7 linked regions of the Ovis aries genome follow. The protein of the gene in region 2 interacts with the protein of the main gene of each other region in a biochemical or structural test. Links are inferred from orthologs where the notes say so. Each region holds a gene or a part of one and is shown on either strand. Other genes may lie near its edges. The genes, in order: PRDM2, RB1, JUN, LIN9, AHR, CCND2 and CCNA1.

The links.
Region 1: the proteins of RB1 (region 2) and PRDM2 form a complex in vitro, tested with the Homo sapiens proteins (2 studies listed by BioGRID, with this or other methods). The link is inferred for Ovis aries from reciprocal best matches to the Homo sapiens genes RB1 and PRDM2.
Region 3: the proteins of RB1 (region 2) and JUN form a complex in vitro, tested with the Homo sapiens proteins (2 studies listed by BioGRID). The link is inferred for Ovis aries from reciprocal best matches to the Homo sapiens genes RB1 and JUN.
Region 4: the proteins of RB1 (region 2) and LIN9 form a complex in vitro, tested with the Homo sapiens proteins (2 studies listed by BioGRID). The link is inferred for Ovis aries from reciprocal best matches to the Homo sapiens genes RB1 and LIN9.
Region 5: the proteins of RB1 (region 2) and AHR form a complex in vitro, tested with the Homo sapiens proteins (2 studies listed by BioGRID). The link is inferred for Ovis aries from reciprocal best matches to the Homo sapiens genes RB1 and AHR.
Region 6: of the proteins of RB1 (region 2) and CCND2, one has a biochemical effect on the other in vitro, tested with the Homo sapiens proteins (4 studies listed by BioGRID). The link is inferred for Ovis aries from reciprocal best matches to the Homo sapiens genes RB1 and CCND2.
Region 7: the proteins of RB1 (region 2) and CCNA1 form a complex in vitro, tested with the Homo sapiens proteins (2 studies listed by BioGRID, with this or other methods). The link is inferred for Ovis aries from reciprocal best matches to the Homo sapiens genes RB1 and CCNA1.

Annotation. Positions count from the first base shown.
Region 1 is NC_056065.1:53,165,168-53,168,667, forward strand, and holds part of PRDM2 (PR domain zinc finger protein 2), read right to left. Parts: intron 3,402-3,500; coding exon 3,284-3,401; intron 1,691-3,283; coding exon 1,587-1,690; intron 1-1,586. UniProt on the Homo sapiens protein: S-adenosyl-L-methionine-dependent histone methyltransferase that specifically methylates 'Lys-9' of histone H3. May function as a DNA-binding transcription factor.
Region 2 is NC_056063.1:18,570,850-18,574,349, reverse strand, and holds part of RB1 (retinoblastoma-associated protein), read right to left. Parts: intron 1,758-3,500; coding exon 1,615-1,757; intron 1,101-1,614; coding exon 1,051-1,100; intron 1-1,050. UniProt on the Homo sapiens protein: Tumor suppressor that is a key regulator of the G1/S transition of the cell cycle. The hypophosphorylated form binds transcription regulators of the E2F family, preventing transcription of E2F-responsive genes.
Region 3 is NC_056054.1:33,493,864-33,498,145, forward strand, and holds JUN (transcription factor Jun), read right to left. Parts: upstream 2,801-4,282; 5' UTR 1,881-2,800; coding exon 873-1,880; 3' UTR 107-872; downstream 1-106. UniProt on the Homo sapiens protein: Transcription factor that recognizes and binds to the AP-1 consensus motif 5'-TGA[GC]TCA-3'.
Region 4 is NC_056065.1:28,526,715-28,530,549, forward strand, and holds the end of LIN9 (protein lin-9 homolog), read right to left. Parts: intron 2,919-3,835; coding exon 2,739-2,918; intron 2,570-2,738; coding exon 2,472-2,569; intron 1,977-2,471; coding exon 1,871-1,976; 3' UTR 501-1,870; downstream 1-500. UniProt on the Homo sapiens protein: Acts as a tumor suppressor. Inhibits DNA synthesis. Its ability to inhibit oncogenic transformation is mediated through its association with RB1. Plays a role in the expression of genes required for the G1/S transition.
Region 5 is NC_056057.1:26,779,504-26,783,509, reverse strand, and holds the start of AHR (aryl hydrocarbon receptor), read right to left. Parts: upstream 2,801-4,006; 5' UTR 2,189-2,800; coding exon 2,124-2,188; intron 1-2,123. UniProt on the Homo sapiens protein: Ligand-activated transcription factor that enables cells to adapt to changing conditions by sensing compounds from the environment, diet, microbiome and cellular metabolism, and which plays important roles in development, immunity and cancer.
Region 6 is NC_056056.1:211,597,775-211,600,935, forward strand, and holds the end of CCND2 (G1/S-specific cyclin-D2), read right to left. Parts: exon of another isoform or gene 1,431-3,161; intron 651-1,430; coding exon 501-650; downstream 1-500. UniProt on the Homo sapiens protein: Regulatory component of the cyclin D2-CDK4 (DC) complex that phosphorylates and inhibits members of the retinoblastoma (RB) protein family including RB1 and regulates the cell-cycle during G(1)/S transition.
Region 7 is NC_056063.1:25,417,567-25,421,730, reverse strand, and holds the start of CCNA1 (cyclin-A1), read left to right. Parts: upstream 1-1,364; 5' UTR 1,365-1,499; intron 1,500-2,027; exon of another isoform or gene 2,028-2,719; 5' UTR 2,720-2,743; coding exon 2,744-2,908; intron 2,909-4,164. UniProt on the Homo sapiens protein: May be involved in the control of the cell cycle at the G1/S (start) and G2/M (mitosis) transitions. May primarily function in the control of the germline meiotic cell cycle and additionally in the control of mitotic cell cycle in some somatic cells.

The sequences.
Region 1 (3,500 bases), on a different chromosome or scaffold from region 2:
GAAACACTGTTCACAGCACTGAGAAAAAGAGCAACATACCACAGACGGACAGACACCACAGAACTTCTTGACTGAAACTCCCCAGACATTTCCCAGGCAAATTTTATTTTTAGGCTTTTATATGTTTACATGTTAAACAGATGTGATTTCCACCTAAGACAATCTGACAGGAATGCTTTTCCTCACCACCAAAAAAACTTCTCTGGCTGGGAGTCATGCCATTGAGTTCCACAAGAACCTGAGGAGTTTCACGGAGGCTGCTGACCTGAATTAGATTTAATAGAAATGCTTAATTCATAGGCAACTCTTTAAGAAACAATAATAAGATATTTTATCTTCACAGCTTTCTTCATGAGATTATTTTTTATTCTCCCCATTTTTAAATGGAGGGTTTTAGGGCCCAAAGGTTAAGGGCCCTACCCAGGTCACAAAGGCAGGATTTGAACCCTGGCTCAGTCGGTCAAAGAATCCAGCTGTAATGCAGGAGACGGACTGCAACACAGCCAACCTAGGTTCGATCCAACCGAGTTCGACCCCTGAATGGGGAAGATACCCTGGAGAAGGAAACGGCAACCCATTCCAGTATTCTTGCCTGGGAAATTTCACAGACAGAGGAGCCTGGCAGATCCATGAGGTCGCAAGAGTCGGACACAATTTAGTGACTACACCAGCGCCACCAAACCAATGAAGCATTTCTAACTGCCTACTGTCAGGCAGCAGGACACATGGACACGTGGTTCTGCTCTGACAACACCCTCCACACGTGTGCCCACAAAGGGAGCCTCTCCCTCTGGTCTACACCGCTTCCCTGCATAAGGAGTGTGTGACCGCTCCCCATCTTCCAGGATCATTGAGAGAATGTGAAACAAACAGAATGAAAGCCTTTCTAAAAAGTCAAAGCACTACACAAACACGGCTTCTCAGGTGGCTCAGTAGTGAAGAATCGCCTGCCAGTGCCGGAGACACAGGTCCAATCCCTGGGTCAGGCAAACTCCCTGGAGAAGGAAATGTCAACCCATTCCAGTATTCTCACCTGGGAAATCCCATGGACAGAGAAGCCTGGTGGGCTACAGTCCATGAGGAAGCAAAAGAGCTGGACACTACTTAGGGACTAAACAACAACAACTATATACACAGTGTGCTAAGTATGTCCAACTCTGAATGTTTCAGCAACACAGAGATTACTTTCTAAATGACAGAAAAGATCCTAACTGTACTTTATTGATATTAGCGGCCACCTTGGTGTGTCTTTTACTGGCGTTCGTCTGCAAGCCTATAAGTGGCAGACCAAACTCTCAGCTGCAAAGCAAAGCAAAGCAACCTGAACAAGGCAAATAAGACGCCAATTTGACATTTATTGTTGAAGACAGCAAAGCACTTTCAAACTACAAATGTGAACAGCAATCTGTATCCAAGGAAACACATTTTCTATTAAAAATATTCTTTATTTTAAAGAACATGTTAAGTTGACTGATTAATTTCAGAAGGTCAAATCCTGAGAAGATAAATCCTTTAAAATAAATCCTTTCAAATCCTTTAAAAATGTACTGAACTCTGATAAGCAAAGGACAAGGAGCATTTCTTACCTCCCACATGTATACATTATTCTTAACCTGAGATCTTTTTTTCTTGTCACCGACAAATGGCCCAAACTTTTTGCCTTTTAAAATTGGTTTAGTGGCCCAGACACCTAGAAAATAAAACCAACAGTTTCACAATGCATTGTGGTTAAAGACTAAAGCACTAACAGCAATTCAGTTACTGAAAAGACTAGTCACCCTAAAAGCAAGACAATGTTAACTGAGATCACAGAAAATCAAACTAAATCAAGTATTCAAAGGGGATTTTTATTTTTCTTCTCAACAGTCTTCTGTATTCTTCTAATAGCCTGTAAAGAATCTATATTGTTTTATAAGTAGGAAAGATTATCTTATGGTTTTATTTTTAATCTTTACATGTAAAATTACCCAGAGAGCATAATCACAAACACTTGGAGAAGAGATAATCACAACAATTAAGAGAAAAAAAATATCGAATGCAGTAAAAATGCAAAGTTCCTCTTTCTCCTTTTCTACAGATTTCAAGTTGTCAAAAAAAGAAAAAAAAAAAAAGAAAGAAAAAACACCCTTAAATGGTTAGAAACATAGTGTCCTGTAGTAAATGTTTTTGAAGTTTCTTTGCTCTCTGCTCTGTTTCCTGAAAGCTTAAACAACTCAGTCTTCAGAGTTTAAACCAACCAAGACGTATGCTGCTTTGTGGTATTCTCAGGGGTATTTCTATAGTCTTCCCAGTGACCATAAGGCAAACAAGATGCAGAAGCAGCGGGTAAAACAGCAGGAGACACCCGTGTCGATGGACCCAGTGCCACAGCAGCTCTTACTGACAGCACTGCTCTGAACATGCTCCCTTGCCTTCTGGGCTCAGTTTCCTCATGTACAGATGAAGGCTGTGGTCTCAGCCACTGGCTCAGCCATGATGAACTAATTCCACCACCTGTAAATCTGCTATGAATCCCATTTGATATCCCAGCTAATAACTAATTAGTGGAGAGATAAAATCAACCACTTTCATGAACAAATTACTCACTGAATAATTCTCAGCAAGAATTAGGAAAAGCATTTATTAAAAATTTATTCACACACATATATATCAGAATATCAGAAGAACACCTTTAAAAAAAGAAAACAGGACATAAACATGATTTCTTCTAAGACTGTACTCTAACTTTTGTAACTTATTTCCTTAGCCTTCTATCTAAAGATTAGAACACAAAAACAAGACTCAATACAAAAAAGTTTGGCTATATTCAACAAGAAATTCTAGGAAGAAGCATTGGGACATGCTCATCATTCAAATACCCACTGAGGCCCATGAAGAGCATCAGTTACTGGAGGCATAAAGATAAATAAGAAATGAAGGCACTCACAATCAATGCAAGTGATGGATATGAAAACAAATACAAAATAATGAAATAAATATAATACCATCATCACACTCAAATTACAGTGAAATCAGAGGCAGAAGCAATATATTCTGCGGGAAGAAGAGCCCTGGGGAGACTCAAAGGAAGGGGCCGCTCAGGCTGAGTCACGAAGGAGGGTGGGTGTGTGCGAAGGTGTTCCTGTCCACCCTGGATTCTTAACTAGAAAACAAACTCTTCAAAACAAGCCAAGAGTATATATGTGTTGCTTTTGGAGTGAGCTCCCCACCTGAGAAGCCCCCAGAGGAAGCCTGGCCACAGCCCGCTCTCCCTGCCCTCTCCTCCCCTGACCCTAGCACTCACCAATCCGAGTTTTGTCAACAGCAGATGGGAAAAGCCTCACTTCCTCCGGAAGTCCTCGAAGCACATGTTCAGGTACCTCGGCCAGGGTCTCCGTGGTTGCCACAGGCTCAGCTGCGTTCTGCAAGTTAAGAAACAGAAGGATAATACCAAAAAGAAGAAAACCCAGTTCTGTTTTGACTTTTTTTTCTGGTCCAATAAACAAATATGCAAAAATGTA
Region 2 (3,500 bases):
TAAAATACGCTTACTCCTTGGAAGAAAAGTTATGACAAACCTAGACAGCATATTAAAAAGCAGAGACATTACTTTGCCAACAAAGGTCTGTCTAGTCAAAGCTATGGTTTTTCCAGTAGTCATGTATGTATGTGAGAGTTGGACTATAAAGAAAGCTGAGCGCCAAAGAATTGATGCTTTTGAACTGTGATGTTGGAGAAGACTCTTGAGAGTCCCTTGGACTGCAAGGAGATCCAACTAGTCCATCCTAAAGGAAATCAGTCCTGAATATTCACTGGAAGGACGGATGCTGAAGCTGAAACTGCAATACTTTGGCCACCTGATGTAAAGACATGGAAAAGACCCTGATGCTGGGAAAGACTGAACATGGGAGGAGAAGGGGATGACAGAGGATGAGATGGTTGGATGGCATCACTGACTTGATGGACATGAGTTTGAGCAAGCTTCGGGAGTTGGTGATGGACAGGGAAGCCTGGCATGCTGCAGTCCATGGGGTCACACAAGAGTCAGACACGACTGAGTGACTGAACTGAACTAACATCTAACTTGGAAATGATTTAGTATTCTTTATCAAAATTCTGATTTCTAGTAATGGAAAACTGTTATTTGAAATCCAGTTCTAAAACTTGCAAATTAGGAAAGTTCAGTAATAGCAGAATAAAAGATTATTCTTTACGTAAGGGTGATGATATTTATATATGCTAAGTTTCTAACATCGTCCCTATATCCAGCACTCAGAGAGTTCCTCATTATAGTTCTGCTATCCTAAAATATTTTCTAGCCACAGCCATCCGTAATGAAGATGTGGTTTCACTTCTCAGTCTTCCTGCTGCACAGTAGATGCTGGGATGGATGAAGATGACCTGCACTTTGCATCATACATTTAATCCACAGATACTTGTAAATAACATATTGTTGAGTGAATTATATTTTAAATGCATAAAAGTCTGTTAATTAAAGGGATTCTATAAATTTATCCTTTTATAATGAAAAGGCTTTCTGCAATGTAAACAATTGTTCATTTACTTACTTACTCAAATAAGTACTTACTCATTTCTGCCAGTTTCTGTTGAAATTTGGATTCCCCTGGGAGATGTTTACTGCAGATTTAAAAATTCAAAATATTTCATATGTATATGTATAAATGAAAAACTGAAATTTCCAAAAACGATGGCATTTTCAATGACTATTTATGCTCTTTAGTAAATAGCTTTTATTGTCAAAGGATTATAAATCAAACATCTAAAATACAAATGTCATAAATTTATGAGCCTAGATATTTTATCAGTGGTTCTTATAAAACAGGGTAGCGTTTTTCAAGAGTGAGCATTTTAAAATCTAATGTTAATCAAAACTAACAAAATTCTATCCATGGCACTGTAAAGGCTGATTAGATTTGTAAACATCTGATATTTTTAATGAATTTCAGTAGATTTACGTGGTGCTTTTTTAACTGTGGGATGCAGTCACATCTTCTATTTTGAGCAAGCCTCACAGTTTCCAAAATATTACTGGCACGAGAGAGACTGGCAGGAGCCAAGACCAGAGCGGCCACTCTGGGTTTCTCCCGACGACCAGCTCAGCTCCTGACACACGTGCTAACACCGTCCCTACCTTCCATCTGCTTCGTCGGATCCTTCGATGTCAAAGCGCAGTTTTTTCAGTGGTTTAGGAGGGTTGCTTCCTTCAGCACTTCTTTTGAGCACACGGTCGCTGTTACACACCATTTGATTTATTTTCTGGAACTTCTCTGAAGTCTACAAATTATGGAATTCTTTATTTTAGATCATTTTGTAGTTAGCAACCCCGAACTGTAGGTTTGTGGTGGGTCAAAAATCAGGCAGAGGTAATACCTGCGTTTAACTTCCTGCTTCTTTGGACCAAACAGGAGATATGAAAAATGTTAAAATCAGACTAACTACACCCAACTTCCCTGGTGGCTCAGATGGTAAAGTGTCTGCCTACAATGCAGGAGACCTCGGTTCAATCCCTGGGTCGGGAAGATCTCCTGGAGAAGGAAATGGCAACCCACTTCAGTATTCCTACCTGGAAAATCCCATGGACTGAGGAGCCTGGTGGGCTACAGTCCAAGGGGTCACAAAGAGTCAGACACGACTGAGTGACTTCACTTCACTTCACATCTAACTCTGCCCCAGTAAATACCTGCTCTTCTCATACCCTCCTGTGTCTTCCCAACAACTCTGACTACTACTCCAAAAGTCCTGGTTCCTCATTTTCAGAATTTACTCAAGCACAAAACCAGGGCTATTTCTCAGAAGCATGCAAAGCTGGAAGAGCTTTCTGGAACCTTGTTTTGTTTTTTTTTTTTTAAAGCACAGCATAACTGGAGCAAATGTTACAAGAATTCAATACGAGGTGTCTAGCGAAGAATAACTTTGGACTCACTTTATGAATATCATGCTGATAAGTCATACAGCTTATCAATTTGAAATCATCATTGATTTATAGTATTTGTTGATATTCCTAACTCTTAAAGGTTTAAAATAAAATATTAAATATCTGAAAAACTCAAAGTATTTGAGTCCTTCCAAGTACTATTAGAGATAATTTGATTTATATATCTCCTGAGGAAGAATCCTTTCACAGTTAAGAAAACTTTGGTTAAAAATGCTAAAGAGGGCACAATACCTCATTTTATCCAAAGGACAAACACATGGAAAAACTGTGTCTTATCTATTTTAGAACCAGAGTGAGGTGATTATCTCCATGATGTGTATTAACATGTTTTTTTGGATTCTAGAATGAAATCAGACTTTCCAATAGAAGTTAAATCTGATTTGACTGATTTGACACTGAGGATTAGCTTTGCATAATTAACTTTCATTAGCTAATTTACCAAAAATTAAATGAACTAAGTTTCCAAAAATTAAATGCAAAACCAGATTTTGATGGAAAATATATTTAGAGCACATGTATAATATGATAGAAATGAAATTCTGTACACCTATTAAATGGATTTCCAGTTATGAGCTTTAAAATATGGAAGTATGTATAACCTTCTTTCAACTCTTTCAGAGTTTATCACAAGCAAAACAGTTTGAAGACCACTACTCTATATCTGACTTCCCTGGTGACTCAGATGGTAAAGCATCTGCCTACAATGCGGGAGACCCGGGTTCGAGTCCTGGGTCACGAAGATCCCCTGGAGAAGGAAATGGCAACCCGCTCCAGTACTCTTGCCTGGAAAATCCCATGGACGGAGGAGTGTGGTAGGCTACAGTCCACGGGGTCGCAAAGAGCCGGACACAACTGAGCAACTTGACTTTCTTTCTTTCACTCTATACTTAATCTGGATCCAATCCTATTTATGTGGTCTACATCACCTCTGTGAAGCCTGACAGCTGTAGCCTGTGTTGAGCTAAATGTCATCACATTTACTATTTGTAACACACATGTTAACATTTGGTCTTTTAGTATACAACACGTATCTTTCTCTAGTTATTTCATTGGAGGGGCAGTGCGTAGGCAGACACTAAAAT
Region 3 (4,282 bases), on a different chromosome or scaffold from region 2:
CTGCTAGTAAGAAGCACCCACAGTGATTTTAATTGACACTCAACTCTTTCAACTCCACCTAGACAAGTAATCTATAGATAATGCAGAAAAGAGGTTGGGGGAGGGGTAACTTTTTCAATATTTTATTGTATTTTCTTAAATATCCTTTCTGGAATTTTCAGAAACAAAACATAAAAAAAATTATATACTTTATTACAAATGGTAAACTCAGAGTGCTCCAAATCTCTTATTTACAAACAAGGCTGGGCAGGACACCCAAACAAACAAACATGAATAACTTACAAAGGCATGAAGCTGTTTATTGACAGTAATCAGCTTTCATCAAATTAAAAAATATATATATGTACATACACAGTTATGGAAGGCAGGCCAGAAAGAGCTCATCTGCAGGCTGGGCCTCGCTCTCACAAACCTCCCTCCCGCCTCCCCTCCCCCACCCCCTTTGTGTTCTTAAGGAGTACTACAGAAGCGATCTACAGTCTCTATTGCAGTTTGCAACCCCCTCCCCCACCCCACCCCTTTAATACTGAATGAGATCGAATGTTAGGTCCATGCAGTTCTTGGTCAACGTTAAAGAAAAGTCTAACGTTCTGTTTGCGCGGGGACAGCCCGTCCGCAAACCCGGGCAGCCCGCGAGCGGCCGTTCCCTGGCTCCTCGCCAAGGGAGGGCGCGCCAAGTCCTTCCCACTCGTGCACACTGGGGGCGCCGTCAGGACGCAACCCAGTCCAACTTGGATACCCTTGGCTTTAGTCCTCGGACACTTTTGTTTTTTTCTCTGTTTCTCTCTCGCAACTTGTCAAGTTCTCAAATCTGTCTCTCTGTGTTATTTATATTTTTTCTCCGTTGCCCCTCAGCCCCCGACAGTCTCGCCTCAAAACGTTTGCAACTGCTGCGTTAGCATGAGTTGGCACCCGCTGTTAACGTGGTTCATGACTTTTTGTTTAAGCTGGGCCACCTGTTCCCTGAGCATATTGGCGGTGGACGCCAGCTCCGAGTTCTGCGCTTTCAAGGTTTTCACTTTTTCCTCCAGCCGCGCGATCCTCTCCAGCTTCCTTTTCCGGCACTTGGAAGCAGCGATGCGGTTCCTCATGCGCTTCCTCTCCGCCTTGATCCGCTCCTGGGACTCCATGTCGATGGGGGACAGGGGCGGCGTTTCCCCGGGCATCTCGGGCACCGTCTGCGGCTCTTCCTTCAGGGCCTGCAGCCGCGGGTGCTGCACGGGTATCTGCTGGGGCAGGTGGTGCGGCGGCTGCGGTGGTTGCTGCTGCTGCTGCTGGGGCTGCGCGGGAAAGGCCAGGCCAGCCGCGCCGTAGGAGGGCGCCCCGCCGCCGCTGCTCAGCGCGCCGGGGTTGAAGTTGCTGAGGTTGGCGTAGACCGGCGGCTCGCTGTGCAGGCTGGCGCTGAAGCCGCCGCTGCCGCTGCCGCCCGCCACCGAGGCCACCGCCGGGGCCACCAGGCCCGCCCCGCTGACCGGCTGCGCCGCCGACGTGACGCTGGGCAGCGTGTTCTGGCTGTGCAGTTCGGCCAGGGCGCGCACGAAGCCCTCGGCGAATCCCTCCTGCTCGTCCGTCACGTTCTTGGGGCACAGGAACTGGGTGGGGGTCGGCGTGGTGGTGATATGCCCGTTGCTGGACTGTATGATCAGGCGCTCCAGCTCGGGCGACGCCAGCTTGAGCAGCCCAACGTCGGGCGAGGTGAGGAGGTCGGAGTTCTTGGCCCGGAGGTGCGGCTTCAGGCTGCCCACCGGGTCGGCCAGATTCAGGGTCATGCTCTGCTTCAGAATCTTGGGGTTACTGTAGCCGTAGGCGCCGCTCTCAGACTGGAGGAACGAGGCGTTGAGGGCATCGTCGTAGAAGGTCGTTTCCATCTTTGCAGTCATAGAACAGTCCGTCACTTCGCGTGGGCTTAGTTTAAGCTGCGCGCAGAAGTTTCGGGGCCGCAACAGCGCGCTGGCAAGCGGGGGACACCCGCGCCTCCCCGGGCAGTGAGCAAGGAAAGTTTCTGGAAGAGCGCGCGCCCCCGCCGGCTGGCAGCCCCCGCCCCCGGCGCCCTCCTCACCAGCTCGGTCCGGGGGATCGCAGGGTTAAGACGCCGCCCGCGCTCTTACTTGTCCGCTCGCGCGCGCCGCCCGGCTTTGAAAAGTCGCGGTCACTCACGGAGCTCTCTCGAGCGCAGCGGTTCCTCAGAGCCCGCGGACGAACTCGCTTCCCGGTGATAGCAGGGAGCGCGGACCCCGCGTTTGCCTGCCGGCGGCGGGTGTCCGCCGCCCCGACTCGGAAGACTGTCCCCTCCTCCGCTGAGAGGGGGAGGGGGCGCCCGGCAGCCGCGGCTCGCGCTCGCCCAAGTTCAGCAACCGGTGCGAGCGAAGCGGAGCGCACGTCCTCCTCTCTCCGCCGCCTCTTTTTCTTCACCGCCGCCGCGGCAGCTTCGGGCGGAGGCAAGATTTGCAAAAGTTCGTTCCGGGACCCGGCGGCCACTTGTCTCCTGTCTTCCTGGCCGGGAAAGTTCTTGCCGCTGCAGCCGCTCTCCGGACTTCCCCGGGCGGACAGTGGCCGCTCTCCGCGCTGTCAGCAGCGCCCGCGCAGCGGGGCTCTCCGCCTGGGGGCGGCTGGCGAAGGGGCTCTCCCGGCGCTCCCCAAAACACCAGGCCGGGAGCCACAAGCGCTAGCTCCGGGCAGTTGGAGAGAAATTGGAAAATAGGATTTGCTGTCCTTCTCGACTGACTGTGCCTGTCTGCCTGCCTGCGTCCGCGCACCTCCACTCCCGCCTCGCAGCTTCAGCCACACTCAGTGCAACTCTGAGCCCTTATCCAGCCGGAGCGCAACACTTATCTGCTACCAGTCAACCCCTAAAAATAGCCCATGATGTCACCCCAAGGCCTTCCCATTGGCTCGCGTCGCTCTCAGGGGGGCGGGCCCACCCGTCGCCATGGAGACCCCACCCTAGAAGATTCTTCTCTGGGCCCGCGGAGGCTCACGGGATGAGGTAATGCTCCGTTGCCCTCCTACAGTTGGGCCCTTCTTTCTCCTCCTCCCCCCAACCCGCTCCGCGCGACTCGCGCCCCTCTCTTCCCCCTCCCTCCCCGACGCGTCTTTCCCGGCCCGCCCGGTGCATTGTGGGCTGACGTCTTGGGGTTTGACTGTCTAGTGACGGTGGCTGCCGCGAGCCGGGCGGACTCCGGCGCTCCCAGCCTCTGAGGGAAGTGGGCTGAAGTTTAGGGCTCGGATGGGAATGCCAGGGATGCTAGGACCCAGGAGGCCAGGGGAACCGAGCCAGGTGTCTGGGGCCGAGGGCGCGGGGCGGGTGGTATTTCCCCACTTGGGGGTTCGATGTCACCCGCGGGCACTTCGCCGCCGCTCGGGGCGGGCCGGGCCCGTTGAGCGCCTGGGTTCCTGGCCCCCCCGCACTTCCGGGGGGCGGGAGCACCGCCCTTAAGGTGGCTCTGTTAAGTCCCCTGTGGGGGCGAGTGAAAGTGGCTTTTAAATTTGGGGGCAGTTCGTGAGAGTCGGCCCCCCACGTTGAGAATGCCCTGAAGTTTGTCTCCTGGTCAAGTTCAGTAGCGACTGTCTGGCTCTGTCTGGAAGTCCAGTGATTTGCATTGCTTGAAACTGGGTGTTCGGCTAAGTCCCCTCCGCACTCCCACCTCACCCTCCCGACCGTGGGAGAAAGGGTGCGGGGGTTCGCATCTTTGCCTCGGAAAGGTTTCTTACAGGAGGTGGATTTAAGGGGCAACTCGGCGTCTAGTTTGAACGAGCGTTTGGAGAATCCGAAACTCGGGGAACCCCGGTGATAGTCTACTCTCCGCCCCCGCACAACATGCATAGACACACCGCACATCACATGTACACACAAACACACACACACGCACACGCCACTCCTCCCGCCCCGATTTGCTTCCGGGAAAACAAGTCCGAGAGCAGCAGACACTTGCCAAAAGTCACGCAGCGAGTGAGTAGAATAAAGATTTAAAATTTCTCCGCTCCCGGCTGGGGGGTGGGCCCATATCCTGTGTAGCCTCTAGGAAGCGCTAGACCCATGTAAGTGGTTCCTTTTCAGTGGTGGTTATTCTTCTCCTCCCCCAACCCCGCGCCCCTTAGGGACGAAAGTGTACGGTGGAAAGAATACCGAAGTCTGGAGTCGTGGGTTCTCTCCTGGCCAACGCTGCCGCAATGTGAAGGGAGCGAATCAGAGAACTTCCCTGAGTTTCTTCATCTGCAAGTGGGGCTGGTGAGACCCACCTCATAGGCCTGGCTTAGTGTAGAGTCATTGTCTCCAGGGCTA
Region 4 (3,835 bases), on a different chromosome or scaffold from region 2:
CATTATTTAAATTAATGCACAGCCAATCCTAAATGTCTACTTTGAATTACATAGATTTCTTCTTCCTTAAAAATAAAATTCAAATATATTCTTAGGCACAGTTCTTGTCATCAACACATGATGGCACTGAAAGATACAGATGATGCTTAATTACATAAGCACAAAACTAGGTATAATTTAAGTGTGACAAGTCAGCCTTAAATGCAGAAGAAAAAATATAAAAAATGCTTACCTGAGTCTAGGCAGAATATATTAAAAATCAACCTTTCTCTAGGTCTATAGTAAGCCAAGTTACTTACATGCTCACAGTGTTTTCCACAGTGATTACTTAGCCATGGGGAAAAAAAAAATCCTAATGGTATTTTAATTCAAAATGATTTAGTAATAAATTTGTACTGTCCCTCCTAAAAATATAGTTTAGTGGAAAAGATAATTTTAAAAACATTTTAAATAGAAGAAATATTTATCAACTTATATTAATTAAATGAAAATGAAGATCATTAATTTTCATAAATCAATTTATTTAGAATTACAAATATTAAGAATAAAAGATTTATACATTTCTTAATTAAACGTAACAGTTTAGCTAAATATAAACTCTGCACTAAAGTTCTGCAGTGGCACAATACCAACAAAGAATATGGAAGCATTTTTAAACTATACAAAAATTTCAAATGGAAAATAATCTTCAGTTTTATTATACATTAACATATAAAAAGTCTCATTTTATGAGACATCTAAAAGAATCAAAGCCACTTCTACAGCTATATCTTAAACTCCAAATCTGAAAACAATTTATATTTTGACTTTATAATATTCTATATTAAAACAGAGAAAATTCCAAATACACACTTTTTACAAGATTAACATCTTAGGCAGGGGTTTCCTTAAAAAACCGAAAACCAAAAAAGCCCACAACCAAATACAAACCTTTTTTCTCCATTTTCTAGCACTGGCTGTTATATTTGTTTTCCTTATAAAATTTTTTTACTTTAAAAATTGTGTAACTGTTGGATTTTAACCAGTAATCTGGTTCAAAAATTGTGCAAATAAACAAAAAAATATGAAAATAGTGTGTTATCAGTCTTTTGAAAATAAATCCCATAACAATAGCACTTTTTGCCCTGAATTGATGGGAAAAGACATGCCAAATCCATTTGCTGAAATTTAGCATCTTGCAGTAATGTTTCTTTCCTGCTCCTTCATTTTCTTTCAACAGACAAACAACAAAGGTTTCTTTTATAAATTATGATAAATTAAAATATTTATTATTATAAAATGATCTATAGAACCATGTCACATTGCAAGTATATATCATATATACTTGTAAAGTCCGTATTTCCCACCTATATTCCAGTGGCTTCCTAAAAGTGAGGACTTCCCACATCTCATGATGTCATCTTTTGAAGACTGAAGTGGTGACCGACTAAATGAACTGGAGGTGTGATTTTCTAGATGGAGTTTCCACACTGCCATGCACAATGCGCAAAAGACCATGTTTCCTCATGTTCTCCACTGCAGTAGTTGTCTGCCTGGGTTGAGCTGAATTCATGCACATTAAAAAAATGGTCAACATATTCTTCCATGAAATTAGGTTATGTTCAGACATTTTCAGTTTAAAAATACTTGCTAATAAACATATATAACATAAGCAGTGCTACTGCAGCTGAGTAATAAAAGAAAAATAAATATAATGCTGGTCAGCAATGCTGGTTCAAGAAGCAGTAGAGTATATTAAAATGCCTTATTTGGAGATTTAAATTTTCCTTGTTTTCCAGCAGATAGGTTATTTGGTGTTGGAAGCCTATATAAAGGAAGAGAACTTCACAAAAACAATGTCCTATGCAGTTGGGATACTTAAATCTTCTATTCAGTCTCTGTTGGTGTTATTTGCTGCAAAGGCATGTAAGTTTCCCATCTGGCTCAGGCCGCTCTGAATATGTGCAACATGAATTTCTACATTATTCTGAAAGCAACTAAAGAAAGAAGAAACATGGTTAACTACTTTATCTCACAAAATTAAGAAAAACAGTTTTTCTAAAAAGAAAAGGCTGAATTTCAGTTAGGAAATAGCTAAGATAACAACCCCACATAAGTAATACATCTTCCCTTTACATTAGCCATAATTCTACTCCAGTAGTAACTGAGAAGCTATGCTTGAGAGAAGCGAAGAAGCCACGGGAGTGCTGGAAAGAGAGGATAGGCAAATCTCTCTTTGGGGAAGACTTACTTCAAAGTTAAACCTCTATGCCAAACCCAAACCTAAATATTATATGTCTTTTGATTCCTTTATATAAAAAAATCCATCTGAAAATTCTGTCAATAGACTGCATATAAAATGAAAGCTCATTTACAATTTACTTAAAGGATAAAAATCATGACTAGTTCATAAATATGTATAATTCTTACAGTACTTATACTGGAAATCACTATGAATTTCATATAAAAATAGAGTACATCTAATGAATTACCTGATATTAGAAGCATCTATTGTACTCTTGATATCATTTAGTGAATCTGTAAGTGATTTAAATTCAAAGGAATTCAAGTCTCCTCCTTCTGCTAGACACTAAAGAAAAAAAAATTTTTTTTCAAAATTTAATTGTACTTCGAATACAGACAAAAACTCTGCTCTAATATATAGTTTAATTTTTTAGCACCAAATTAGCAGTTTGTTTAGGTGTCAAAATGAAGAAAGTATTCTTAATATTTTCTCCAAAAGGTCCTCTGAAATTTACCTTAATTTGTAATAAAATAGCTGTAAGCCTGGAGATTAAGTCTGTCAGATTTTCATTTTCAACACAGGGCTGTCCTGTTGAGGAATTTGCATGCCGAACTATTTCCTGTGCTTCTTCCTCACACCTTCGTCTCATGTCTGTTGGCTGATCTGCAGGCTGGAGCCCTTGGTCTGGAGCAAGCTGAATACAGACGATTAAAACATAAGATATACATTCATAAGGCCATGATGATTTCTGTGTGTTTGTGCCCTGTTTTCAGATTAGGATTTTTATAAAAGTAGCATTTGTATAACAAAAACAATCTCACTCTTACTTTAGAAATTTTTTTTCCCTCTAACAGTATTTATTTTTTGATTTGTTTTATATTTTGGGTACCTTTTAATTTTTAGGTACTTCTAAAAAAAGAACAGAACAAAAATTTCTTGATAACCTTTTACCCAGATTCACTAATTGCTTATGTTTTACTGTGTTTGAGTTAACATTTGACCTTTCTTTGTATATAGATTTTTTTTCTCTTAACTATTTGAGAATAAGTTGCAAACACTGTGCCTCTTTACTCCTAAATACTTAATAACCACACAGCAATGATCTGATCACAATCAGGAAGTTTAGCACAGACATAATACCATTTTCTAACAGTCTATATTCAGATTTCATCAACTGTCCCAATACCTAGCTACTTTTCCCCCTGAATACATCTGGTTGTCCTGTCTCTCTAGATTCCTTTACTCTGGAACAGTTCCTCAGTCTTTCATAACCTTGATAGCTTTGAAGAATATCAGCCAAATATTTTGCATAATATCCCTCAATGTGGGTTTGTCTGTTTCCTCTTGATTAAACTAAGGTAACAGGCCTTTGGCGGGAACACCACAAAAGTGATGTTGCTGTTCTCAGTTCATTGTGACTAGGAGGCGTATGATGTTTATCTGTCCCACTGCTATTTATGTTATCTTTGATCACTCGGTTAAGGAAGCTATGTGCCTACATTAGCACAGAGAGCTTCCTTGATCATTCTTATAGCAGCACCCCGCTCCACTATGGGATGCGCCATAAGTTATTCAGCCAATTCCCTATGTATGGGCATTTAGGTTACTTCT
Region 5 (4,006 bases), on a different chromosome or scaffold from region 2:
ACAAGATGAATTTTTCAGACAATATACCAACATATTAGAGTGTCTATTAGTTATAGTAATTTAACTTAAAAAACATTAAAATACTGGGTTTATGGCTCCATTCTTAAAATGGACTCTAACTGCATTTTAAGTTCATCATTTTTCATTCAGTTAAAAACAATTTATGAACAACTTCCCGTGATTCTGTAAATGTCAGCACTAGGCTTTTCTTATGGAGCAGTGACATTTTAAGGCGTTTGTAGGATTAGAAGCCATGCATGATGCTCAGTAAAGATCTGATAAACATCTCTGCTAACTAGATAAAATAAGGGTGAATGTGGAAATACTTTGGTTGTATTACAGGAGATATTAAACACAAATATATTAAAGTCTTAGAAAGCATATTTAATTGCTAATAATAAAAGGTACATCCTTAAAAAAAAGAAAATGTGCAATAATATATTTACAGGGAAAATCTTTAATAAAATGGTAACAAGAAGCCCCAAATGTTAAACTTTAAAATGAATACAAAAATTAGAGCATTTCATTGAAGTCACCTAGGTCCTGTGTAACATACTTCCTGAAATGCAATAACTTAAAATTCTCAGGTTTTCTAACTATACAAATAAAACCTATGATATACATATATATATTATACATTATGTCAAGTGTACTTTTGTATTAACTAAAATACACAGAGGTGTCTGTGATGCCTTTCAATTTTAAATAACCATCAAGGACCAAGTCAAATTAGACAAGCACATTTTTTATAAGAAACCATTCTATAAAACACAAGTATTGTAAACCAATGTCAACAGAATTGCCAAGATAAAAACTGCTGACTTGACAGTATTCCTAATGTCAACCACGCTGCAGGATAAGTCTTCCAAATTTTAATCAGTCTATTTATAGATGAATATCCTCTGTTGATGCCAAGTCTAAATCTGAAGGACTGCAATCACTGAAATTCTAAAAGGAAATTAAAACCCCAGAATACTGAAACCTTTAAACTGGTCTTTAATATTAATTTTAAACTGCTATTTTTCTGGTTTGGATTAGTGACCTAAATTTAGTCTTAAGCCACATGCACACTTGTGATTTGTTCTGAGTAACCGTTTAAAGTGTTCTTAAAATTGTTTATGAAAGTTTGAAAAATGTGAAGTAAAATAACTCAAGGATAATAATTAGGAATAAACACATGAACATTGCCAACTCGAAAAAGTAAATCTGTGTTAAGCATGGATTTTTCTTTTTTTTTTCTGAAAAAAATTAAAGTATTTGCCATAATCACATAAATATCCCACCAAAACAAACAAACCTAAGTTTGTACTTTATCAGAATTGACCAAACTTTGAAGTAGAGGGAAAAGGGAATTAAGAGAATGATGCTAAGAATGAAAATGTCTGTTTCAATAATTCCATCTCCAAATTATTTGCAGACCCTAAAACCACTTCCAAAGTGATAAATCTCCCCCAAAAGATGACTTAAAATACAAATCTTCTACTGTATCCTGGCTACTACACTCACTCAAAGCTGCTATCACCTCTATACATTTTATTGATATGTTCACGCTGAGCGCTACAAAATTACTGCCAAATAAGTAAATAAGAGTATAACAGAAAGCCAGTTTCAGGGAACCAAAAAATACCTTCAGAGGCACTCAGCCCCTTTCTTGCACACAGCACGTGTTTAGCTATTTAAAGCATCTCGCCCTACCAGGAGTAAGAATGGTGACCGTCCTCTAACCTAACAGAGGAGGATATTAAATGTGAAAGGGGATTTCAAGACGGGCTTAGGTTAACTAATCCACCAGCCCCACAGGGCAGAGGAGAGCTGTTAACAAATTAGGACCACAGCACAGTGAACAGCGCTGCAAATGGCTGGAGGTGTGAAAGGGTGCTCTGGAGAAGGGGTTCGGGGGGGGGGGCAGAGAACGGGGGGCACAATTTTTAAAATGCAATCATTAATCACGGAAAAATCCAAGGCCTGGGGTTCTCGACCGGCCTCCAGATCTCGATTCCACAGACTGCACAGGGAAGGGACCTAATCCCCTGGCCTCGGGGATTTGGGGGCGGGGTGCGGCAGTGTCCCGCGCCTGAGCGCCCACCTCCCCACAGCACAGAGGACAGGCTCCGGAGACTCACGTTTTCTGCACCGGCTTCCGCCGCTTACGACTGGCGTAGGTGATGTTAGCGCTGCTGCTGTTCATGGTGCCTGGCTGGCTGCGGCTCCTCCCGGGCGCGGACGGCCCTGTCCCCGGGACCCGGCGGCAACTGGGACGGGGTTCCACTTAACCGCGGCTGCTCCACCTGCGCCCTCCCGGGGCGATGGCGGAGACACAGCACCCCAGGAGCCGCAGGGCTTCTGCAGCCCCGCACGTCCAGGTGCGCGGCCCGGGCCTGGCGCCGAGGGGCGAGGGGCGGAGACCGGGGAGGCTGGAGGCGCAGGTGCCGTCTGTACCAGCTGAGGCGGCGCCGCGCTGCCCGCAGGTGAGGCGGCGCGAATGGAGGAGGAGCCTGGGCTGTCTGTTTGAAATCCCGGCCTGGGTCGCTCGCTGTGGCGGCGCGCCCCGTGACCGTCGCTGCGGCCCCTTGGGTGAGGGAGGCGCCGCCGCGCTGCGCTGCTCCCGGGATTTCCCCGATCCCGGGTGCTTCCCGCCTGCGGAGCTCGGACTCCGGCCGCTGCTACGGGTGCCACCAGCTTCCGCTCGGCTATGCGGCTACCTCTGGTCTGAGCCGGTGGTCCCAGTCACGCTTTCAGAACCTAGCGTCAAGTGGACTCGCCCTGCGATGCCTCCCGCTGCTGCTTGCACCGGCTGAATAGCAGAAGCGCCCCCGACCCCTCTCCAGCCCCGCCCCGCCCCTCGTAGCCCCGCCCCATCCTACTTGGCCCCGCCCTCCGCTATATTTCCCTTGAGGGCCCCACCCTCCCGGCACGTGATGACGTAAGGCGTAATGACCCCCACCCTCTCCAGTAGCCATCTTCTTGAGGTCAAGGGGAGGAATCTGTGGACACATTTCCAGTCCATAAAGACATGTGACGACAAATTATGTGTAGCCAAAGTCTTTGTAATCAGACAACCTCAAGGAAAGAAATGCCAAGTAGTGAGCTTAAATTCACCTTTGCAAGAGACAGTGAGTCAGCCAACTTTTGGCTAAGCATTACAGTGAGCTGGCAGATAACCTGTGGAACTATAAATCTTCCTAGAGGAGAAGGCTTCAGGAGGCCACATCTCAGTTGAACTTGAAGGCTAGGCATTTTTCTTGTCTTTTTGTTTTGAGTTTGATTTTTGTCTCCGTACAAGACAGTATAGTATCTTTTCCCCAGGCAGAATAACTGTTACACTACAGTCAGATTTCAGGAAGGTGGGAAGGCAGGCAGCAGGAGGCATTTGAGAATAAGCAGTCTGGTATAGCTGGAGAGAGAGAAGCTGGAAGTGAAATCCAGGAATCTAGGGTCAAATCATAAAGCCTGATCAAGAGTCCACATATTATTCTGCAGTCAGTGGAAACCTTTGAATGATCCACAGCAGGCAAGAGACATTCTAGTGTTTTGGAAGTTTTAAATGACAGTGCAAGCTGGATTACAGGAGAAAAAGACTGGATGCCGAGAGAGTAGTTAGAGTTGTTGAAGTAGTCCAGGTGAAAGTCCAGGGAAGTGACAGTGGGATGGAGGGGAAAAAGAGCAGATAATAAGGAAATAGACAAACAAGAGAGAGCAATCTCAAGTACCTCCAACATTTCTGACTACTCCTGTGCCTTTACCCAGAAAAGTAAACACAGGAGTGTGTTTTGCTTGTCAGGAGAAGGGCAATCAGACTAAGAAGTCTAGATGAAATCTGGCACCATGTCCATTCCTACATTTCAAAATGTCATCAAGCCATTTCCATCCGGTGAGTTTGTTACCTCACATTCAGAACATCAATAAATTGAACATTGTTTTCTTTAGCTGAAACCTCACTGTCATATACTCAACCATTATCCTATCAACCCTATGAAATATCTTCAACTCTTCTACAACTTACATC
Region 6 (3,161 bases), on a different chromosome or scaffold from region 2:
TTGTCACTCCCTCCCCATCCTGTCCCTCCTTGATTCCTAATTCCTTCTCAAGTTCATTGCTTCACAATCCAATCCTGCCATACGTGGCATCCGCAGTTCTTCCAAATTATCCAACAGGGGTATATACGTGCTAGTTCATAACATGAAAAAAAAGAGTCTCTAATTTGTTCCCATAGTGCAGGCGTACATTTTTCTCTAGCTACTCTGCAGGTTTTCCTGTAAGCATATTACTATGACTTTTAACATCATCAAACAGTAACTTGGCATATATAAGGGATTCCCTTCTGTTGTACTTCAAATAGGCACCAAATGCTTGTAATGATTTTGTTTTTATAGGACCTTTATCTCTCACTTCTAAAAGATCTTTCAATAGGATCTAGGTGGGGGCAGAATTTTTTTTTTTTTAAGTTTCATCCTAAAATGTAAGAGAACCAAATACAACCAGAGAGAAGGAGAGAGCGGATTGGACGCACCCCTCCCATTGGGCCCGCCCCACATCCTCACAGGTCGATATCCCGAACATCCGTAGGGGTGCTGGCTTGGTCCAGCTCATCCTCCGACTTGGATCCGTCGCCCTGGTCCTGACGGTACTGCTGCAGGCTGTTCAGCAGCACCACCTCAATCTGCTCCTGGCAGGCTTTGAGGCAATCCTAGAAGAGAGAAGCATCGAGACCAGGGCCGTTAGCAAGGGCACCGGGACACAGCAATCAACAGAGAGCACGCACGATTCCAGCCCGCCTGACTCCACACGCCAGCAGGTGGTGGTGGTGTAGTCACCAGGTCATTTCCGCCTCTCGCGACCCCCTGGACTCCAGCCCGCCAGGCCCCTCTGTCCATGGGATCTCCCAGGCAAGAATCCTGGAGTGGGCTGCCATGTCCTTCTCTGCTTCCAGTAGAAAGAAAGTCAACATGGAAGGAGGTGCGTCTTCCTGGTGGCCGGGGAACCACTCCAAGCGGGGTCCACAGGCCAGCAGCATCTGCAGCATCCGCACCACCTGGAAGCTAGCTAGAAATGCGATTCTCAGCCCTCTCCGAACCAGCTGCATCTCAGGATGTGCATTTCATCAGAAGCCCGGGCAGCGCTGGCCAAGGCGAGGGGCCATTTGCGGCCATGCAGCACCTGGTAACTCAAGGGCCAGCGGGATGCTTCCTGCTTGGGGCCACTGCATGGTGAGTGTGAAAAGGGGAAGGTGAGCCCTCCAGACAGTGTGACAGAACTAGACGACCTGAAGGGCAGATATAAGCGAAAGGACTAAACTACACTGAGCCTCCCAGCCACTGCAACCGTACTCAGAAACAAGCAGATTCGCCTCTCCACTTGTTTACCATTTCTTTAACTCTCATAAAAAACACAACACAGAGTGTTTACAACGTTCTGGACACTTAAGCCGTCTAATTTGGGAGAAAGCAAAAAGAAAAAACTGCAGCACTGCTTTGAGATCAGTCTATATTTGGTAGGGAAGATTCAGGGTGTGTCAGCCCCACGCAGAAGCTCCTCTAAACTGGGCGACATTGACGCAGCAGGAATTCATGGGCGTCGTCAGGGTGGGACGGTGGCTGGCACTAGCAACCGGGGCGAGAGCTGAAGTAACTGCTCACAGCAGATACTGGGTAGGCCAAAGGTTCGTTCAGCTTTTCCTGTAAAATGTTGTGGAAAAATCTGAATGGACTTTTTGGCCAACTCAGCATCTCCCGACCTCTCTACTCATCAAGACTGGTTTCCTGGCACTCTCGTAAACGTATGGAAACTATGTGAACTCCACTCTGCCTGGGTCTTTTCAGAGTTTCATGTATGTTCCCCTTGTGTTTGCTCCACCACGCAATTTTCACTGCCCAGAGGTTGCAGTCTGCCAAGCACACAAGCATTATCTCTATTTTCCAAAGATCTAAAATAAAGTTGGAACTCCCAGGAAAGTTTCCATGCCCCCACATTTTCCTTTTGTATCTCTCGGCCACCGTACACTGTTAAACCACAGCTTTTTAGGAAAATTAACATCTGGACCGAGCGCTGAGAGCAGATACGAAATACCACTCAGAATGAGTGAAGAGGGACAGAGGGAGGTGGTATCTGCTGTCCCCACGACCAGACCTGTGGGCACCACTGAGTTATTCTCCTTCTCTGTCCTTGGTTTCCCCATTTGTAATGTAAGACTCAGGAGACGCTCACAGAGGGAGGATCAGTTGAGATGTCCAAATGAAGCTCTAATCGTTCATCACAAAGTGGAAGTCTTGGAATCTGAACAAATTCCTGAGGTTTCTCTGAAATGAGGTACGAGTGAGCATTTGCTCAAGACAGGTGAGGGGCACAGAGGAACGCGCACCAGGGATGGAGCGTCCAGCAGGGATGCAGACTCTTTGCGAACCCACGGACTGCAGCACGCCAGGCTTCCCCGTCCTTCGCCATCTCCTGGAGTTTGCTCAAAGTCATGTCCATTGAGGTGGTGATGCCAACCAACCATCGCATCCTCTGTTGCCCCTTCCTCCTCCTGCCCTCAGTCTTTCCCAGCATCAGGGTCTTTTCCAATGAGTTCACTCTTTGCATCAGGTTAACAAGGCAAAAACTGACAACAGTCAACACTGCTCTGGCTGGTCCCCTACGAAGCTCTCCACCAACCCTGTCGACTTTCCTTCCTCCAAGACTCTGTTTCTGTGTCAACACAACTGCTACCCAACAATACGATGAACCCAGGATGCCATGACCATTTCTGCATTAGCCACACCAGCGGCTGAGATGGGTGGTCCTCTGAACATGGGGATGGGGCTCCAGAGAGCTAAGCAGCTTGATAGGGGGTCATGGACAGTCTCCCTGCAGGTCACCCAGGTGCCTGATCTTCCTGGTATTCAGGCTTCCCTCCCAGCAGCCTGAGACCCTAAAAGGAAAGTTCTGAGAAAGTCCTTCGGGGCGGGCTGGTACACCGGGCAGTCACTTCTACAGGACTTCAAGATAACACAGGCATCGAACATCACAAGTACATTAACTTGCAGCCCCAAACCTTCAAGCTTTCCTGAATAAAATGAAGAAAGATATCACACAAAACACAGACTCTCCTTCCTTCAGTCAATGTAAATCATTTTTGACAGTGACCAGCTCTTCCTCTTTGATACTTCTTGCTTCGAGAGAAAAGGAAGGACCGTAGCAGTTGCTGCAGAAATGAGGATGG
Region 7 (4,164 bases), about 6.8 Mb from region 2:
TCCAACTCTTTTCGACTCCAGGGACTATAGTCCACCAGGCTCCTCTGTCCATGGAATTCTCCAGGCAAGAATACTGGAGTGGGTAGCCATTCACTTCTCCAGGGGATCTTCCCAACCCAGGGCTCAAACTGGGTCTCCAGCATTACAGGAAGATTCTCTACCGTTTGAGCCTCTAGCTCCTGCCAAAGTAACCCTGGCTCTTGGAAAGACCTGCTCCTGAGTCCCTAACAGAGTCCACCCCTGACGCCTTTAGAGTCTCCAGAAGTCACAATAGTGTGGTCAGATGATGGAAGCCTCCCCAGAAGACTTCCAAAAGCAGCACCAGATGAGAAGGGGGCAGAAAGGCTCTTTTCCTCACCAGATAGCAGCACCTTGCAAAACCAAGCATTTGGGGCCTACCTACATATGTTGCCACAATTTGAGTTGTTACCAGAGCTGCTGTGTTGCCTTCATATCCGAAGGCATAGGAATTCCAGGGTGCAAAGGGATCGCTGCTTCCCAATGAATGAAAGTGGGTAATAAATGTGTAGAAGTTAGTTTCACATTAAAATCCATTTCTATTTTCCTTGGGCATCCAGGAGTGATTTGCAAGATGCCTCCTAACTGCCTCTTAACACCTGATTCAATCGCTTTCATCCTCATTTCCTGTAGAATACTTCAATTTTCCCATTAAAGTAATGCATACACATCGCTGAGTGAGCCCATTAATAAAGAATACTTAAGAAAAAACTGGGAGAGGTGTAAGATTAGCAATTATTTTCATTCAAAACAAGGAAGAAGGAAATAACGAGTTCTTAAAAAACGACCATTTGAATGGTTTCCATTATCTGTTTTATGGATGGGAACTTAGAGATGGGAATATTTAAAAATTAAAAACAGACAAAAGCAGTAACGTGTGTGTGTGTGCACAACAACATTTTCAAAAAAATAATAAAGGTAAAGATTCTTATACTTGGCTCTCTAGTTACCTCTGCAAGTTCCAGGGCTCCCTAGTTTCCAAGGACCCCCCCCCCCTTCCCTTCCTGCGTGGCCAAGGCCCCTTCTCCCTACCCTCACCTCTTACCCCCAAATTAGGCCCCCTGCTTCCACCCTACCCTGCCGCGGACCCCGGATCCAAGGATTTCCTTCCCACGTGACCAGGCCACCTGCCCAGTCCCTGGTTCCCAGCCTCCCCGCTATCCCCTCTCAACGTCCCAGACCCCGTCGCTGCCACTCGCGTTCCTTCCTCTTCCTGGGCCAGCTTCACGCTGGGGCTGCCGGAACCGTCGAGGAAGGTCTCTCTCCTGGGGACCTAGAGCACCACGTGCGACCCTAAAACCCCAGGTCTCCTCTCCCGCCCTGTCGGGTTACATGCACCGGAACCCAGGTCGGCCAGGCGTGGCCTCCGGTGCGCAAGGACCCAAAATGACCGAGAACACGCCGCCACCACGGACTGAGGCCGCGACTCCAACCAGAGGCCCGCTCGCTGCCACTTGGCTTTTCTCTGGGAGTAGGCTTAGGTGTGTGAGCTGGGGGAAAGGGGAGTGAGCCGCGCTGTCTGCCCGGCGCGGTCAAGGCGCCGCGGCCTCAGCAGCCCCGAGGGCCCCGCGTCGCCCTCCCGGGCCAAGGTTCTCAGGAGCGGGCCGCGGAAAAGACGTTAGCGGGAGGAGTTAGCGGCTGTTGGGGAACCGGTTCAAGTAAAAACAGTCCCTTCCAAACCCCGGCCATCGCGGGGCGGGCCTGCTTCTTCCCTTACAGATATCGGCCACAGTGGGGGCGTGGGCCGCGGCCACCGCGGCCGCCCGCCCAGACACGCCCGGGCAGGGCCGCTTAGGAGGGGCTCAGGGCCGCCGCCGGTTGGCCCCACCCAGCCCTGAACGCCCAAGGGTCGCGGTGCGTCCTCGGGTGCTGAGGTAGCCATAGAGATGAGGCCGCAGAGCGCGCACGCCCCCCTGCGGTTGGCATGGAAACGGCCCCCGCGAGGCCCGGGAGCTGCGCTGATTGGCCGATTCAACAGACGCGGGGGCCGGCGAGGGGCGGGGGGAGTTGAAAGTAATTAGCTCTGAGCTGGGCAGCAGACGCTGGGAGCCCAGCGCCCCGGCTAGAATCTATTAACACCTCCGTCCCCTTCCGCCCCGCCCCGCCCCGGCCCCGCCCCCTTCATTGGACCCTTATTCCCAATCCTCGTGTGCATTTGCTAATTGTTCGAGACTTATGTGTAAAGAGATAAGACTGAGAAGAGCGAGGTCCGCTGTGGGTTCCAAGCAGATTTTGGGGCCTTCTGTCTTGTGGGAGGAAGGCCGCGGAAGAGCACTCTGCTTGTCACTTGAGAAGGGGACGTACTTTCCCACAGTGATGTATCCTGGGTCACTGGTTTGCAGGGAAGGGGGTGGTGGAGTAATGGATAAGCATCACAGCCAGGAAAGACACGGGCTTGTAGGTTTGAACTCCCCACTAATGTGGGGGTTAGTGTCTTGGCTTGGAGGTTTGTCATATTCTTCTCTTCTTCCAGCCATCAGCCAGGTATTGGAAGAAAGGCTGGAGAGATTCAAATCATCGTTTTGGTTTAAAGCGGCTTTGATCACTTGCACTGTGGCTCAGGCCCTTTCAACCCTAATAACAGCAAGGAAGATCATGTGTCACAGGGCTGTGTCTTCTAGAGAGTCTCAGCATCCTTGGATCCTTATCCTTCGTGGAAGAGGCTGACTAACTGGCTTGTCTGTTTCTCCTTCCTTGACAGCAGTAAGCTGTGGAGACTGAGGCTATGCATCTCAGCAGCTCCAAGAGTGGAGTAGTGCTGGCTCCAGTGTCCCGAGGTCCTGATGCCTGTCAGATGATAACCAGAGGCCAGTTCGGCCAGGATCCGCCACAAAGAACAGTACTAGGAGTGCTAACTGAGAATGGGCAGTACAGGAGGACCTGTGGCCAGGTAATGCCTGGGAAGAGCTGGGAAGGCCCCCGTGTCTTGGTGGGAAGTGGGATCTCTTGAGATTTTCTGCACAAACTCCCCTTGAGTATTCAGCCCTGGAATCTGGCCTATAGGGGCACTGATTTTTTAAAAGAGCACTTTGTAAGGTCCCTTTTTCAGCTAGCAATATTAAATAATTTTCTTTGTTATTAGGAACTGTTTAAGTCAAATATGTGTAAAGTCACTTAAAAGAAAGTGAAAGTGAAGTCACTCAGTCGTTTCCAACTCTTTGTGACCCTGTGGACTGTAGCCTACCAGGCTTCTCCACCCATGGGATTCTCCAGGCAAGAATACTGGAGTGGGTTGCCATTTGCTTCTCCAGGGGATCTTCCCGACCCAGGGATTGAACCTGGGTCTCCTGCATTGCAGGCAGACGCTTCACCCTCAGCCACCAGGGAAGCACTTAAGTTCCGGGCTAAAAGGACATTGTGAATGCACCAAAATAAACTATTGTTGTTCAGTTGCGAAGGTGTGTCCAGCTCTTTGCGACCCCATGGACTGTAGCCTGCCAAGCTTCTTTACCCATGGAATTTCCCAGGCAAGAATACTGGAGTGGGTTGTGATTTCTTTCTCCAAAATTAACTTGTGGTACTGGTGTTTCTCTAGATCAGAATGGTATTCAGATTGACCTAGGCTGTGCCCTGAAGCATCTCCGATAACCTTTAAGTTCATTGGTGATGGTATTAGAATCAGGATTGGATCCCAGCATACTAGATTACTTACAAATGTGTGCTTTGAAAGTCAGCTTCTCCCCAGGACTGATAATGGACAGTTGGGCAGAAGATCATGGGCCATCTAATGTCCGGTTGCTTGTGCTTAATTAATCATAGGCACCTCCCTTAACAGAATGTAAACAGAGGGTAAATAAATTCAACACTTAAAATGCAAATAAGGAGTTTGGATCCTTAAGAATGAATTTTGAGATTAAAAAAACAACAACAACAAAACTTCCTCAAGTCTGTCATCACACCAGCTTCTCATAAGCTTGTACTGCATATCTATTGGCGGTAGTATAGTGGAGTAGGTGGGCAGGTATCCTTTCCATTGTACAGGTGAGAAAATTTGAGAGGTTTGAGAAAGCCTTCCCACCCAAATAAAAGTCATGATGGAGGCCAGATCAGAAGCTTCTCATCTACTGACTACTCCTACTCCTCTTCTACACAATGACACAAGTCATTTGTGTCTTGGTGGCATCTGGTTAGTGGGAGAAAATTACC